2 linked regions of the Arabidopsis thaliana genome follow. The protein of the gene in region 1 interacts with the protein of each later gene in a biochemical or structural test. Each region holds a gene or a part of one and is shown on either strand. Other genes may lie near its edges.

Region 1 (5,598 bases):
CCTAAATCGGGTCCTCCTTTCTCTGGTAGCGTACAAAGACATTACTATGAATGTATAGAGAGATAACGTACCGACACTTCTCTCGTATAAATATGTAAGCCTTTATATATCAACCATGCAAACGACAAACCTGGATATCGGTGAGTGAAGCCATCCCAAACGTTAAGGCCACGGCCTTTTCCACCTTCTATCTGAAGTGAAACAAAACAACCATGCAACGTTGGAATTTAGTGTTAGTGAATTGTTTTTTACGTCAAAATTGGGAGAATATGTGATCTGTTGCATGCCTGGTAAGCAGAAGATGCAACACCGAAGATGAAGTCATCATCGAAATGTTTTCTGTTGAAACGATCAGTTTGGTTACATGTGAATGGCTTGGTCTCTTCGCACGTAATCTCTTCAGCTTTGCAAGTCTCCACTGCTAATAGAAGAACTAAGCCGAGTGCACGAAACTTCATGGTTAATCGGTACATGTATGTTTTCATTCAGCTGCATGGAAACCTAATGCGGTCTCAATTAAACTTTAAAAGAAGAAGTTTTTGTAGAAAATTTAATCTTTGCTTTGTATATTTGTTTTGGTGTCCTTAAATAGAAATTTTACATCAAGGAGCTAACGAAATGGAATCATGGATTCCTATAAAATTGGAAGTGAAAAGGTGATGTAAGAACACTTGTTAATTCTTCTATTATTGTCGACGAGAATTAAGCAAAAAAAAAAGAAAACCAAGAATTGACTAAGTCTAGTTATTTTGAATTTGGTATTCTTGACCCAATCATTCGTCATTGCAATATATTTGTGGTTTGTCCAATTTCGGACAGAGTTTCGTTGAAATCTCCATAGTCAGTGGGTCCAAATCGAGCACATAGTTAGTCTTCAAAGATATCCCACGTGATGACTGTATTCTCCTCAACCAAATTAGTGCTGCAAAATATAAGGCAGCAAAGACGTAGTGGCAAAACCAAAACAGTGACTGTACCACACACCCAAAGCTTAGTACATAGTAATAAGAGAGTGCATCTAACAATATATCATATTACAACACACCATCGACGACGAGAACCCAAAAATAAAATAAAAACAATACTTATACATTATATATATCTTTGGACTGCTACGACTAGAGATGTTTGTTTCACAATTCTTACCCTTCCTCTTGATCAACGAGCAACTATGAGCTCTTCAATGAAATCGCCTTCACCTGATTCAGATGGGATTAAGATATCATCATCGGCGGTGAAGTTGTAGCTCTCTCCAATGGCTCTTAGAAGCTGATAAACTTCAAACATGGTTGGCCTCTGCTTTGCTATTTCCGGTAGAACGCAGTTGCATGCTACTTTGAGTACTTTGAAGATTTCATCATCCACACCGTTCCCAAGTAAGGACCTGTCGATTGCTTCCTGCAGTTTTGATTCACTTGATAGCTTTGTAATCCATTCCACGAGGTTACCCTTGAAGTTTTCTTCCTCAGCTTTTTCTTCAGATACTTTTGTTACACTCGTTGCTTTTTGGCCCGTTACTAGCTCTAGAAGCACAACACCGAAGCTGTAGACATCTCCTTTTGGAGTTGCAACCATGGTTCTTGAATACTCGGGAGCAACATAACCGAAATCCCCAAATTCTCCATTGACGAATGTGCTTAAATGGGTATCAATTGGGTTCATCAGCCTAGCTAGACCGAAATCCGAGATCTTTGGCTCAAACTCTGCAGTCAACAATATGCATTTCGAGCTTATGTTGCGATGGATGATTCTCGGGTTGCAGCTATGATGAAGCCATGCCAATCCTTTTGCCGTCCCAATCGCGATTTTCAGCCTTGAAGGCCAATCCAAGGGCTTGAAGGATTCTTCATCTGCAGGATGTAACTGATCATAAAGGTAACCGTTTGCCATGTACTCATACATTAGAAGCCTCTCCTTATTGGCAACACAATAGCCCAAGAGAGGGACTAAGTTTCTGTTTTTAACAGAGCCCAAAGTCTTCATCTCTGCATCAAACTCTTTCTCAGAGCGTTGAGAATCCTGCAACCTCTTTATCATAAGTAGAGACCCGTCTTCAAGCCTACCTTTGTACATAGTTCCTGTTCTTCCTGTTGCAATGATATTATCTTTCTTGAATTCCTCTGTTGCCTTCATAAGATCGCTTAATTTCATCTTTGAAACCGATTTCTTAAACATGAAAACCTGAACATTCACAAAAGCACCAAACATATATCATAAATTTAGAACATAACCACATACAGCAAAATTCAAATCAATGATGTTTTTACCTTAACACCTTTCTGTCCTTTCAAGCTCTTTGCCCATCTGTTTCCTTCAGGATCATCCTGCTTCTTCCGAACAGCACCCAATTTACGGAAATAGAAGAACAAAACAACCCCAACGACTAATGCTGCTGCAGTCAGTCCACCAACTGCCGCTATAATAACAACTTTACCACGAGAGCTAGAAGCACTCTTACAGTCATCTAGAGGCTTACCACACAGATCCAGGTTATTAGCAAACAATTCCTGCTTAAACTGCAAGGTTTGGTTGAAATTTGGGATAGGACCAACGAGACGATTGTCAGACACAGAGAATGTTTTGAGCCGTCCAAGTTGCGCTAGCTGGGGAGGAAGAGTACCCGTGAACTGGTTATGCTGAAGCATAAGAGTGTTCAAAAAGGTAATGTTGGAGATCAACATAGGGATTTCACCAGAGAAGCTATTGTAGGAGAGGTCTAGAATCGTAACAAGTGGAATCAAGGTGCTAATGTTGGCTGGTAAAGGTCCAGAGAAGTTGTTTCTAGAAAGATCTAAACCAGTGAGATCAGCACATAGCTTAACCGCAGGAGGAAACACTCCTCTAAGACCATAACCAGATAGCTTAATACTCAAAACCCTATTCTCATCATCATGCCAACAAGTCACACCACTGAACTTGCAGATATAACCAGCAGTCTCGTTGCCAAAAACCCAAGTCGATAAATATCTATTTGGATCCTCTACTTGAGATTTAAAGGTCCTTAAGCAATCTATGTTGGCCTGATCCGCGTCAACCAAGCTCGAGAGTAGCAGCAAACAGAGACAATTATAGAGCCAGATTACAAAAACTAACCTACCCATCATCATAAATCCACTAAATTCCACAAAATGTGTAAAATCTCTATGAACTACAGCAACAAAATCAAGGGTTCTCTTCGATGAGCATCAAAATCCTGTAAGCAAATAAAAAAAAATCAAAACTTTATTAGCAACAACGAAAATTGGATTATCGCCAGCGAATCAAAAAGACTAAAGCGATCTTTAAAATTGAAGTTGACTTAGAAAAATTTACAACAACTTACGAATCAAAATCAGAAACACAAAACGAAAGCTTTGGTCTTTGTAGTCGTCGTTGTCGTGGTGGTGGTGCTCTTGTTCATAAGTGTTGAAGAGCACAATGAAGAAGGAGAAGAAAATCGCATCTGTGGCTAAGTGGTTATGAATGATGATGATGATGATGATGAAGAAAGGAGTTGGGAATAATTTAATAAAGGAGTCGTCTTTGTGAGTGAGTTGACTGGGACTTTGGATCGTCGTCGTCGTCTAGTGAAAGTTCGTGAAGAATGGGGCAAAGAAAAGAGAGACACTGATGATGAGAACGCAATGACTCCCAACAAAAACCAAATCGGTCTTTGCGCGTTAAATGTTTTTTTTTTCTTTCTTCTCTTTTTGACTTTTCAACATCATCATATATATTATCTTGTTTGTTAGGAGATGGACAAATTTTTCTTCCATTTGGTATTTTTCGCTTTTCATTCGTTTTTAGATAATTCTGGATATTTTGTAAATGGTTTTGGTGTTTTGACCAAATCAAAGAATGGAATATGACATTTACAAGAAATGTTTTCTTGGTATTAGTTTTTGACAAATACCAATGCATAATAATTTGTATCACAAAAATTGAATATCATGTCACATATTTAAATACTTATTAGGAGTAGTACTTATTTTGTTGTTGTTGGAATCTTTAAATTATGGGTTGACAGTTATATATATATATATATATATAAAAAGCTTGTTCATTTAGCAGATGTACCCGCCAACCACGGTTCAGCAAACACCCCAAAATGTTAATTCGTGTTGTTTATGTATTGTCAGTTTGTAACATAACGATTTTAGAAATTTTACAGAGTGTTTATATACAGAGACTCTAATACCATGTAGACTAAGAGTATATCGAATATATGAAACAAGATGATTACAGAGTGTTTATATACAAAGACTAGAAAGCTACTGAAGGAAACTTAATATTGTATACAATGATTATGAGCAATTAACGTGATTGACGATATTGATTCTCTTCATTATCTTGATTGATATGATTATCCTTGATAGTCAGTTTGTAACATAACGATTTTAGAGAGGAGATAAACCACGAATCACAACCTCTAGTCTCTCCCAAGCCAAATCCGCCATTCGTGACCTGAACCAACTTCGAAATTCATTTGATATTTGTAATGTTTTGTACCAAATCATTCACCATATATAATACAATTGTAGAATTCCAACAATTTGGGAAGTTGTAAGATTTATTTACTCTTGGTTTAGTCTTTCCTCTTTGACAAATACCAATGTATAACCAAACTATATTTTCATTGTTGCTCTTATTAAGAAAACAATCATATATAAATTTTGCATTCAAAAAAATTAGACACATAGTTTCATCCTTGGAGACAATTTATATGATCGAAACATCCGATGAAGAATATCAGTCTATGAAAGATTGTGCAATCTAGTTTTTTCCCCATTATAACATAGCCTTAAGCATGAAGCCAAAGCTTCGTCAACAGGTTAAAAAGATTGGGTGTTTGGTAAAAAAAGTTAAGGAATTTAAAGAGTGATTGATACACATAGATGGTGAATATACCAATTAATAGAAAAAAAGGAGGAAAGAGTAAATTACAAGTTCCCGGCAGTTTCAGACAAACTCACGTGACGCAAACTTTAAAGGGTTTGACTAGAGCCACATAAGCTGTCTGGTCCGAACCAGATATGATAGTGAAGAACGAGCCATTAAACCACACCAGTCTCTCTCACGTGCCAACTAAGTAAAATTGGGTGTGCTTAATAAAGTGTCTGTTATAAATCGCTTTGCTTCCTTTTATTTTGCCTCTCTTCTACTTTCCTCTTTCCTTTTTAGGGATTTCACTTTCCTCTTCTCTCTCTCTCTCTCTCTGCCTAACCTCGATTTCTCTCGATCGCTCTTCACCATGGATCTACGATCATGTGGTCCTTCTTGAAGTTTTTTGATCTCTTCTTCTTACGGGTTTTTACTTCGTTTGATTTTCCTGGTAAAGTTGCTTTTTTTTTATCTTCTCTTGAGGTATATACTTTTTTTTTGTTTTGAGTTCATGTTCGTGTTCTCTTCACTGTAGCTAGGGTTTGTTGATTTCTCCACAATATAGCTCAAAATTTCTGCTATGACCTTGAATTTTGGTCGTGAAGTTTGTTTATGTGATGGATTAAGCTGGGATTTCATAGAATCACTGAATCAGCTTGCTTGTTTCTACTCTCATTTCGTCATCTACTCTTCTCTTAATCTGTATTTGTATTATTTCAGCTAATTTTTTTATAAGTA
Region 2 (6,397 bases), 5.3 Mb from region 1:
CGCTGTTGTATACAGTCAACAAGGTGTGACGCAAGGTTCTGTACCAAGGGCTCCTGGGACAACTGATTGTAATGCTGCAAACCAGGCATATTCTGCAACAGGAGATTGGAATGCAGTGCATCAGTCTTATTACCCTCAGACAGCAGATGCAACCACAACGTATTATCAAACATCTTAAAACGTTAAAGCAAAGTGTTGCTACTCTGGTATGCCAAAGAGGATTCTGTTAAGTCTCGTGTATTTAAAGCATTGTTTCGGTTCAGGTGAGAAACGATTTGCTGAAAACCTATTTGCATTGGTATTGCAGGATCTGAGAAACTTGTGCGTGATGGGTGCGGAAGCATGGACTCGAACTGGTGCACTCAGTGGAAAAGAAGGTCAAGGACATAAAACTAGAGTCTCCAGCTCCGTTTACTGTAAGTTTAAAAGTTCTATGTTACGGTTTGATCATATTCATTTCTGAGCTGCGCATGAGGAAATTCCTCAAACCATCAAAACTTCTTTAAGTCCCGTTTCAGGAGTGCAATCTGAAATGCAATTCTGATTGGGATTTAAAGTTAATAAAACATATTATAACTCTGTTATCATTACTTATGCTAAAACATTTCTTTTAGTATGGTCATGTTTAATACTTGGGATTTGCTATTAAGAATACTACCTTCAAAAAGGTTCATCTTAAACACTCTCTCAAACGAAACCTAGGGACCAAGAATATGCTTATTGGCTCTAAGATTAAGTGGCCTAAACCCTAAGCCATATCTATTGGTAGACAAAAAAGAAAAGAAAAGACTCCTAAGTCTCCCACTATGTATGTTTGAGCACTTGCACTGCAATTCACATGTTCTTTGTTTTTTCTCTTTCTCTTTCAAAAAAACTTTTTATCTATTTCTTTCTTCTCCAATAAAAAAGATTTTAAAAGACACCTATCTCACTCTTTCCACCTACTTTGTTTTGTTTGCTACAGAATTTACTTAAGGCTCTGGTCTTGCCCTCTTGTTTCTTTTTTTTTGGGTCAAGGGTCCCGTATGTTTACAGCTTTGTTGGTTGTGTCACAGATCATCAAAATATTATTGACGAAGGAAAAAATACTGAAATTGGGAAAAACATGATCAGATCCAACTCTCTGAATTGTCTCGAGGTCTTTTTAATTGGAATTGAAAAATGCAAATTTTCCTGATAAATTTGGAGTTAACGTTGGCTTCTTTCAATAGATGTCTATTATATTATCTTTATCCACTTTTTGAAAGTTATAGTCCCCATCTATCATCATTTACTGATATGATCTGTGGGATTTTTTTCTACAAAATTTCTGAGTTGTGTGAACCTTACGATTTGTGTTAAAGATAAACAAAGTATGACCTCCATGGTAATAAACTACTAATTATCTTTGTAAAATGTTCTCACGTGAAACTCTCTCACTATTTCCTATTGCTCACTTTATGTCCCCATAGCAACAACGACTTGTACTCGTCTGAAAATTTCTCAAATTTCATGTAAATAATAATAATAAAAAAATTATTACAATTCTTCGCTAAAAGCATCACAGATCCAGTTGGCAAAAAGAATTATATATATACTATTAGTGCATTGCAAATAAAATTATTAAAGACCAACTGTTTGTCATATAAAATATTATAAAGGATTTCATAGATAATATGTATTTGATATAACAATTATAATCGATAACAATATTCTGATATTGTAAGCTGGAAAGATTATGTCACAGAAGTTAATTGCTCTAATTAAATATGTCTGAGGTTAATCTGATATTGACCAACACGTCGTTTACTACAATAAATACAAAAAAAAAAAAGAGAGCGAATTTCTCAGAAAACAGCTTAACGTTTCTTGGATATTTCGTAAGTCAATATTAATCAAATGAAAACAAACAAAAAAAACCTATATAAGAAGGAGACGCTGTAAAACAGAGCGAGTCAATTAAAAGAAAAGAAAAAGCGCGACTTAGACAAGTGGGTCCCATTTACTGCTCTCCCAGATTATCATTTTCTTCTGAATCTTCTTCTTCTTCCGAAATTCCTCACAAAAAAATGTTTGTCTCTGTTGTTCGATCCAGGTACTTTTGAATCCGCAGTTTTTTTTGTTGGGAAATCAAAAATTATGGGGAATTGTTGCTCCGATGTCGCCTCCGGTGCTGGTGCTACAGCCGGCGTTGGTGGAAGTGGTTCCTCCGCCGCTCTCGGTGCGACTAACGACGCCCTTGATTACTATCTCAAGTCCAAAGGTTTCAACGGACTCTTCTCGCAGATAGAGGTTCCTTCACTATCATCTATCTCTCGTGTTTTTTCTCTACTTCCGCCAAAAAACGTTTAACAATGATATGTGTGTGCTTCGTTTGAAAGAAGAAAACTGCGAAATTCGATTTTCCCTGTATATTCTGAGGATTCATGTTTGATACTGTTTTTTGTTGATGCAGCTATCGTTTTCAGCTTCGAATTTGCGAGACCGCGACGTGCTCTCCAAGGTTACTTTGTTATTCAAAATTGAATTAGTCTTCATAGCTGGTCATTTTAGTTAATGACAAACTTTTTGTTTTTTGTTTTTTTGCAGAGTGATCCTATGGTTGTTGTATATCAAAAAGAAAAAGATGCAACACTTTCAGAAGTTTTCCGCAGTGAAGTTGTTTTGAACTCTTTAGCTCCGAAATGGATTAAGAAATTTATAGTCGCTTATCATTTCGAGACTGTGCAGACATTGGTGTAAGTTTCTTATTATCTTGTGTGACTTGAGGAAAGAGATGAACCTTTACCTGACTCTTTGTGTTGGTTTCTTTATACTCAGGTTTCGTGTGTATGATGTTGACACCAAATTTCAAAATTCAAGAGAGGAGGTAATTGTTTATTTACTGCCTGCATTTTCATTTGATCTGATGTTCACTTTTCTCAATATGTTAATACTTTTCAGATGCTTAAGCTTGACGAACAGCAGTTTCTTGGTGAGGCAACATGTGCATTGTCTGAGGTATCATTTTTGACATTGACAATATATGTGCACTTGTTTTTGCTGGTTCTCTGAGAGGCACATCAGAAATTTTGTTTTATTGCCTAGCTTATAAGAGAGAGAGAGAGAGAATACTTTATATTTAACTTTTCAACCACGCAGATAATCACAAAATCAACTAGGACGAGCACATTAGAACTCAAGCGCAAAGATGGCTTTGCTCCACAGGCTCAGCCTCACCACGGAAAGCTTATCATCCATGCTGAGGAGTCCCTTGCTTCTAAGATTTCAACAGAGATAGTATTTAGATGTTCGAATTTGGAATCTAAGGATCTTTTTTCAAAAAGTGTAAGTTTTGTTGTTTATTCTCTTTACCATTTTAATAAAATTCTAGTTCTGACATCAATATAACACTTTTTTTTTGTTGTGGCTCAACTTTAGGACCCCTTTTTGGTGGTATCAAAGATTGTAGAGCATGGAACTCCAATTCCCGTGTCTAAAACTGAAGTCCGGAAGAATGATCTTAACCCTATTTGGAAGCCAGTCTTTCTTAGTGTTCAACAAGTGGGAAGTAAGGTACGGGAGATTTCGTATATGTGAGCTTCCAGTAATATGTAACTGAATGATTAGAAAGTATGTTTCTCTGTTCGAGATGCAAGTTGATTCATAGAATGTAATAATGCAGGACAGTCCAGTGATAATAGAATGCTCAGACTTTAACTCCAATGGCAAACACAGTCTGATTGGGTAATCAACAGCTTAGAGCTCAGTCCATCTTCTTTTTGGAGTGACTTTAGCTGTTAGCTGACATAATTACTCGTTTATTTTGGGTGGTCAGGAAAGTTCAGAAATCGCTTTCAGACTTAGAAAAACTTCATTTGGCGGGCCAAGGAATCAATTTTTCTTTGCCTACTGGTGCTGGACAAAACAAGGTATAAACCAATACGAAAAGGTCTCCTAACATTTTCATGCCTTTTTCAATAAGCTATCTAATACCATTTATGGTCATTTTAGGTGTTAAAGAGCCAACTTTTTGTGGACAAGTTTACCGAGACTGTCCACCACACATTCCTAGAGTACTTGGCATCTGGATTTGAGTTAAACTTTATGGTAGCAATCGATTTCACAGGTATGTATTGCACCACTGTGGAAAATCCTAAAAACTTTGATTGGGTATGTAATGTTGTTGTTACGTATACATCATGCAAAAAGGATATAATCTAAACATCTCTACATTTCTTTTGTCCTTCAGCTTCAAATGGAAATCCCCGCCTCCCTGATTCTTTGCACTACATTGATCCTTCTGGACGATTAAATGCCTACCAGAGAGTGAGGACTCAGTGTTATTCCATTTTCTTGTAACTAGCATCGACTGTGACTAACAAACCTTCATGATCTCTTCTTTTAACTCAGGCAATAATGGATGTTGGAGAAGTGTTGCAGTTTTATGACTCAGACAAACGTTTCCCTGCCTGGGGATTCGGAGCTCGTCCAATCGACGCTCCAGTTTCACATTGCTTTAATCTAAATGGAAGCAGTTCATACTCTGAGGTAAACAAACTCGACTCGCTGGTCTTTAAGACTAAATTTTGATGTTTTTGGATTGACACATCAAAAGTATCTTTTTTTTTTCTCTCTCTCTCTCTCAGGTGGATGGGATTCAAGGAATCATGACTTCATACACCAGTGCCCTTTTCAACGTCTCTCTTGCAGGGCCTACCCTTTTTGGTCCAGTGATCAACGCTGCTGCAATGATCGCCAGCGCGTCGCTAGCTCAAGGTTCACGGAAATATTACGTCTTACTGATCATAACAGTGAGTATATATATAAAAAGAAAAGCCAAGATCACATAAAATAACAAATCAAACATTGTTTACATAAATCATAAACTCTTGTTTCAGGATGGTGTTATAACTGATCTTCAAGAAACAAAAGACGCATTAGTCAGTGCATCGGATTTGCCCTTATCAATCCTCATTGTAGGAGTTGGAGGAGCTGATTTTAAAGAGATGGAGGTAACAAATAAAAAATAAGACATTTAAGATTTACAACTACATATGATCTTGTGTAAACTGTACTTTTTTTTTGTTTTGGTGGGGGTTTTTAGATACTAGACGCAGATAAAGGAGAAAGATTGGAGAGTTCGAGCGGGCGATTGGCTTCACGAGACATTGTTCAGTTTGTGGCACTACGAGATGTCCAATGTGAGTTTTATTTGATTCTTAGAGTGAAACTTTAGGGAAACGCATGAGAACGCTAGTTCTTGGTTTGGTGAGTTTTAATGTGTTGTGTGTGGGTTTTGTAGATGGAGAGATCTCAGTGGTACAAGCGCTTCTAGCAGAATTGCCTTCGCAGTTTTTGACGTATATGAGAATCCGTAATATGAAACCGATTCCTCCATGAATGATCTCGTCTCGTGTGTAAATGAAGTGTGTACATATTATACATTACATAAACCACTGCGGCGGTTAAAAATCGCTGTCGTTTTGCGCGATTACATAAGCTTTTTCCATTTTTATAATAAAAATGTCTGAATGTGGGATGTAAGTTTCGAATGAAGAGGCTGATGTACACATTTGTCTTGATTTCTTTTACATCAATACTTGGAATTTGAAGATATCTGTTTTGTGCAGCTTAATTTCTTCTATTGATAGAGAATAGTGAACGTCCAACAAAAAAAAAAACATTCAAGTTACAGATGAATATTGTTTTGCATTTTCAACTAATGATTTGACATATGGAGAAAGTGTCCAAAAAGTAAAAGGTAAAGACTGTTATATCAATTATGTAAGAGACTGATAATAACCATAGAATTCCCAAAAACAATTTTTTGTAGATTTTTTTTTTATAGTTGTTATTTTGTTAATTTAATATATTTTTAAACATGTGTATCATATATATCAGAATCATTTCTTAAAAACTAAAACAATGATTTTTTTTTCTTAATGAATATTGCATTATTTGCGGATAATTGAAAATAATAAAATTATGTTATCAAAATGTTGAAAACGTGAACAAATGGCTATTGATCACACTATAAATTTTCCGTCAAATAAATGAATAGTTAGGTATCACATGTGATCTAAGATTTAGATGAGGGTGTCCAAAGTGAAGACCAAATACATTTAACAGTAAAGCTACAGTTTAGAGAAATTTTGATCATAAACATAAATAAACAGCTGGTTAGGGAAGTGGTAGTTGAACCTAACACCAACGCAGTACACACATGATCGATCAAGTTAGTCAAACTGGCTGTGGATTACATTTACAAGTCTTACATTATTATATCCGTACTTGTCACACATTGTACATAATTTCTTTACCTGTCAACTTAGTTAGCTCTTGACTTTTTTGAGTGAATAATTTTTCAAATGTCAAATTTTTTACATACAAGCCTATAATATGTAGATAGGCAAGAGCTCCATTGAGTAAAAATTAA

Evidence for each region.
Region 2: the proteins of BIR1 (region 1) and BON1 form a complex in vitro, tested with the Arabidopsis thaliana proteins (one study listed by BioGRID).

What each region holds. Positions count from the first base shown.
Region 1 is NC_003076.8:19,603,426-19,609,023, forward strand, and holds BIR1 (BAK1-interacting receptor-like kinase 1), read right to left. Parts: upstream 3,723-5,598; 5' UTR 3,323-3,722; intron 3,194-3,322; 5' UTR 3,108-3,193; coding exon 2,268-3,107; intron 2,182-2,267; coding exon 1,159-2,181; 3' UTR 664-1,158; downstream 1-663. Other genes in the region: TGG3 (thioglucoside glucosidase 3), read right to left, coding at 1-22, 131-187, 311-458.
Region 2 is NC_003076.8:24,854,872-24,861,268, reverse strand, and holds BON1 (Calcium-dependent phospholipid-binding Copine family protein), read left to right. Parts: upstream 1-1,927; 5' UTR 1,928-1,970; intron 1,971-1,996; exon of another isoform or gene 1,997-2,074; coding exon of another isoform or gene 2,075-2,118; coding exon 2,119-2,271; intron 2,272-2,434; coding exon 2,435-2,482; intron 2,483-2,568; coding exon 2,569-2,717; intron 2,718-2,799; coding exon 2,800-2,848; intron 2,849-2,922; coding exon 2,923-2,979; intron 2,980-3,120; coding exon 3,121-3,306; intron 3,307-3,399; coding exon 3,400-3,534; intron 3,535-3,643; coding exon 3,644-3,705; intron 3,706-3,796; coding exon 3,797-3,890; intron 3,891-3,972; coding exon 3,973-4,087; intron 4,088-4,210; coding exon 4,211-4,287; intron 4,288-4,371; coding exon 4,372-4,509; intron 4,510-4,607; coding exon 4,608-4,772; intron 4,773-4,859; coding exon 4,860-4,973; intron 4,974-5,065; coding exon 5,066-5,162; intron 5,163-5,263; coding exon 5,264-5,361; 3' UTR 5,362-5,608; downstream 5,609-6,397. Other genes in the region: AT5G61910 (DCD (Development and Cell Death) domain protein), read left to right, coding at 1-7, 102-206, 308-416, 2,075-2,271, 2,435-2,482, 2,569-2,717, 2,800-2,848, 2,923-2,979 and 11 more. UniProt on the Arabidopsis thaliana protein: Negative regulator of cell death and defense responses. Negative regulator of several R genes, including SNC1. May have effects in promoting growth and development.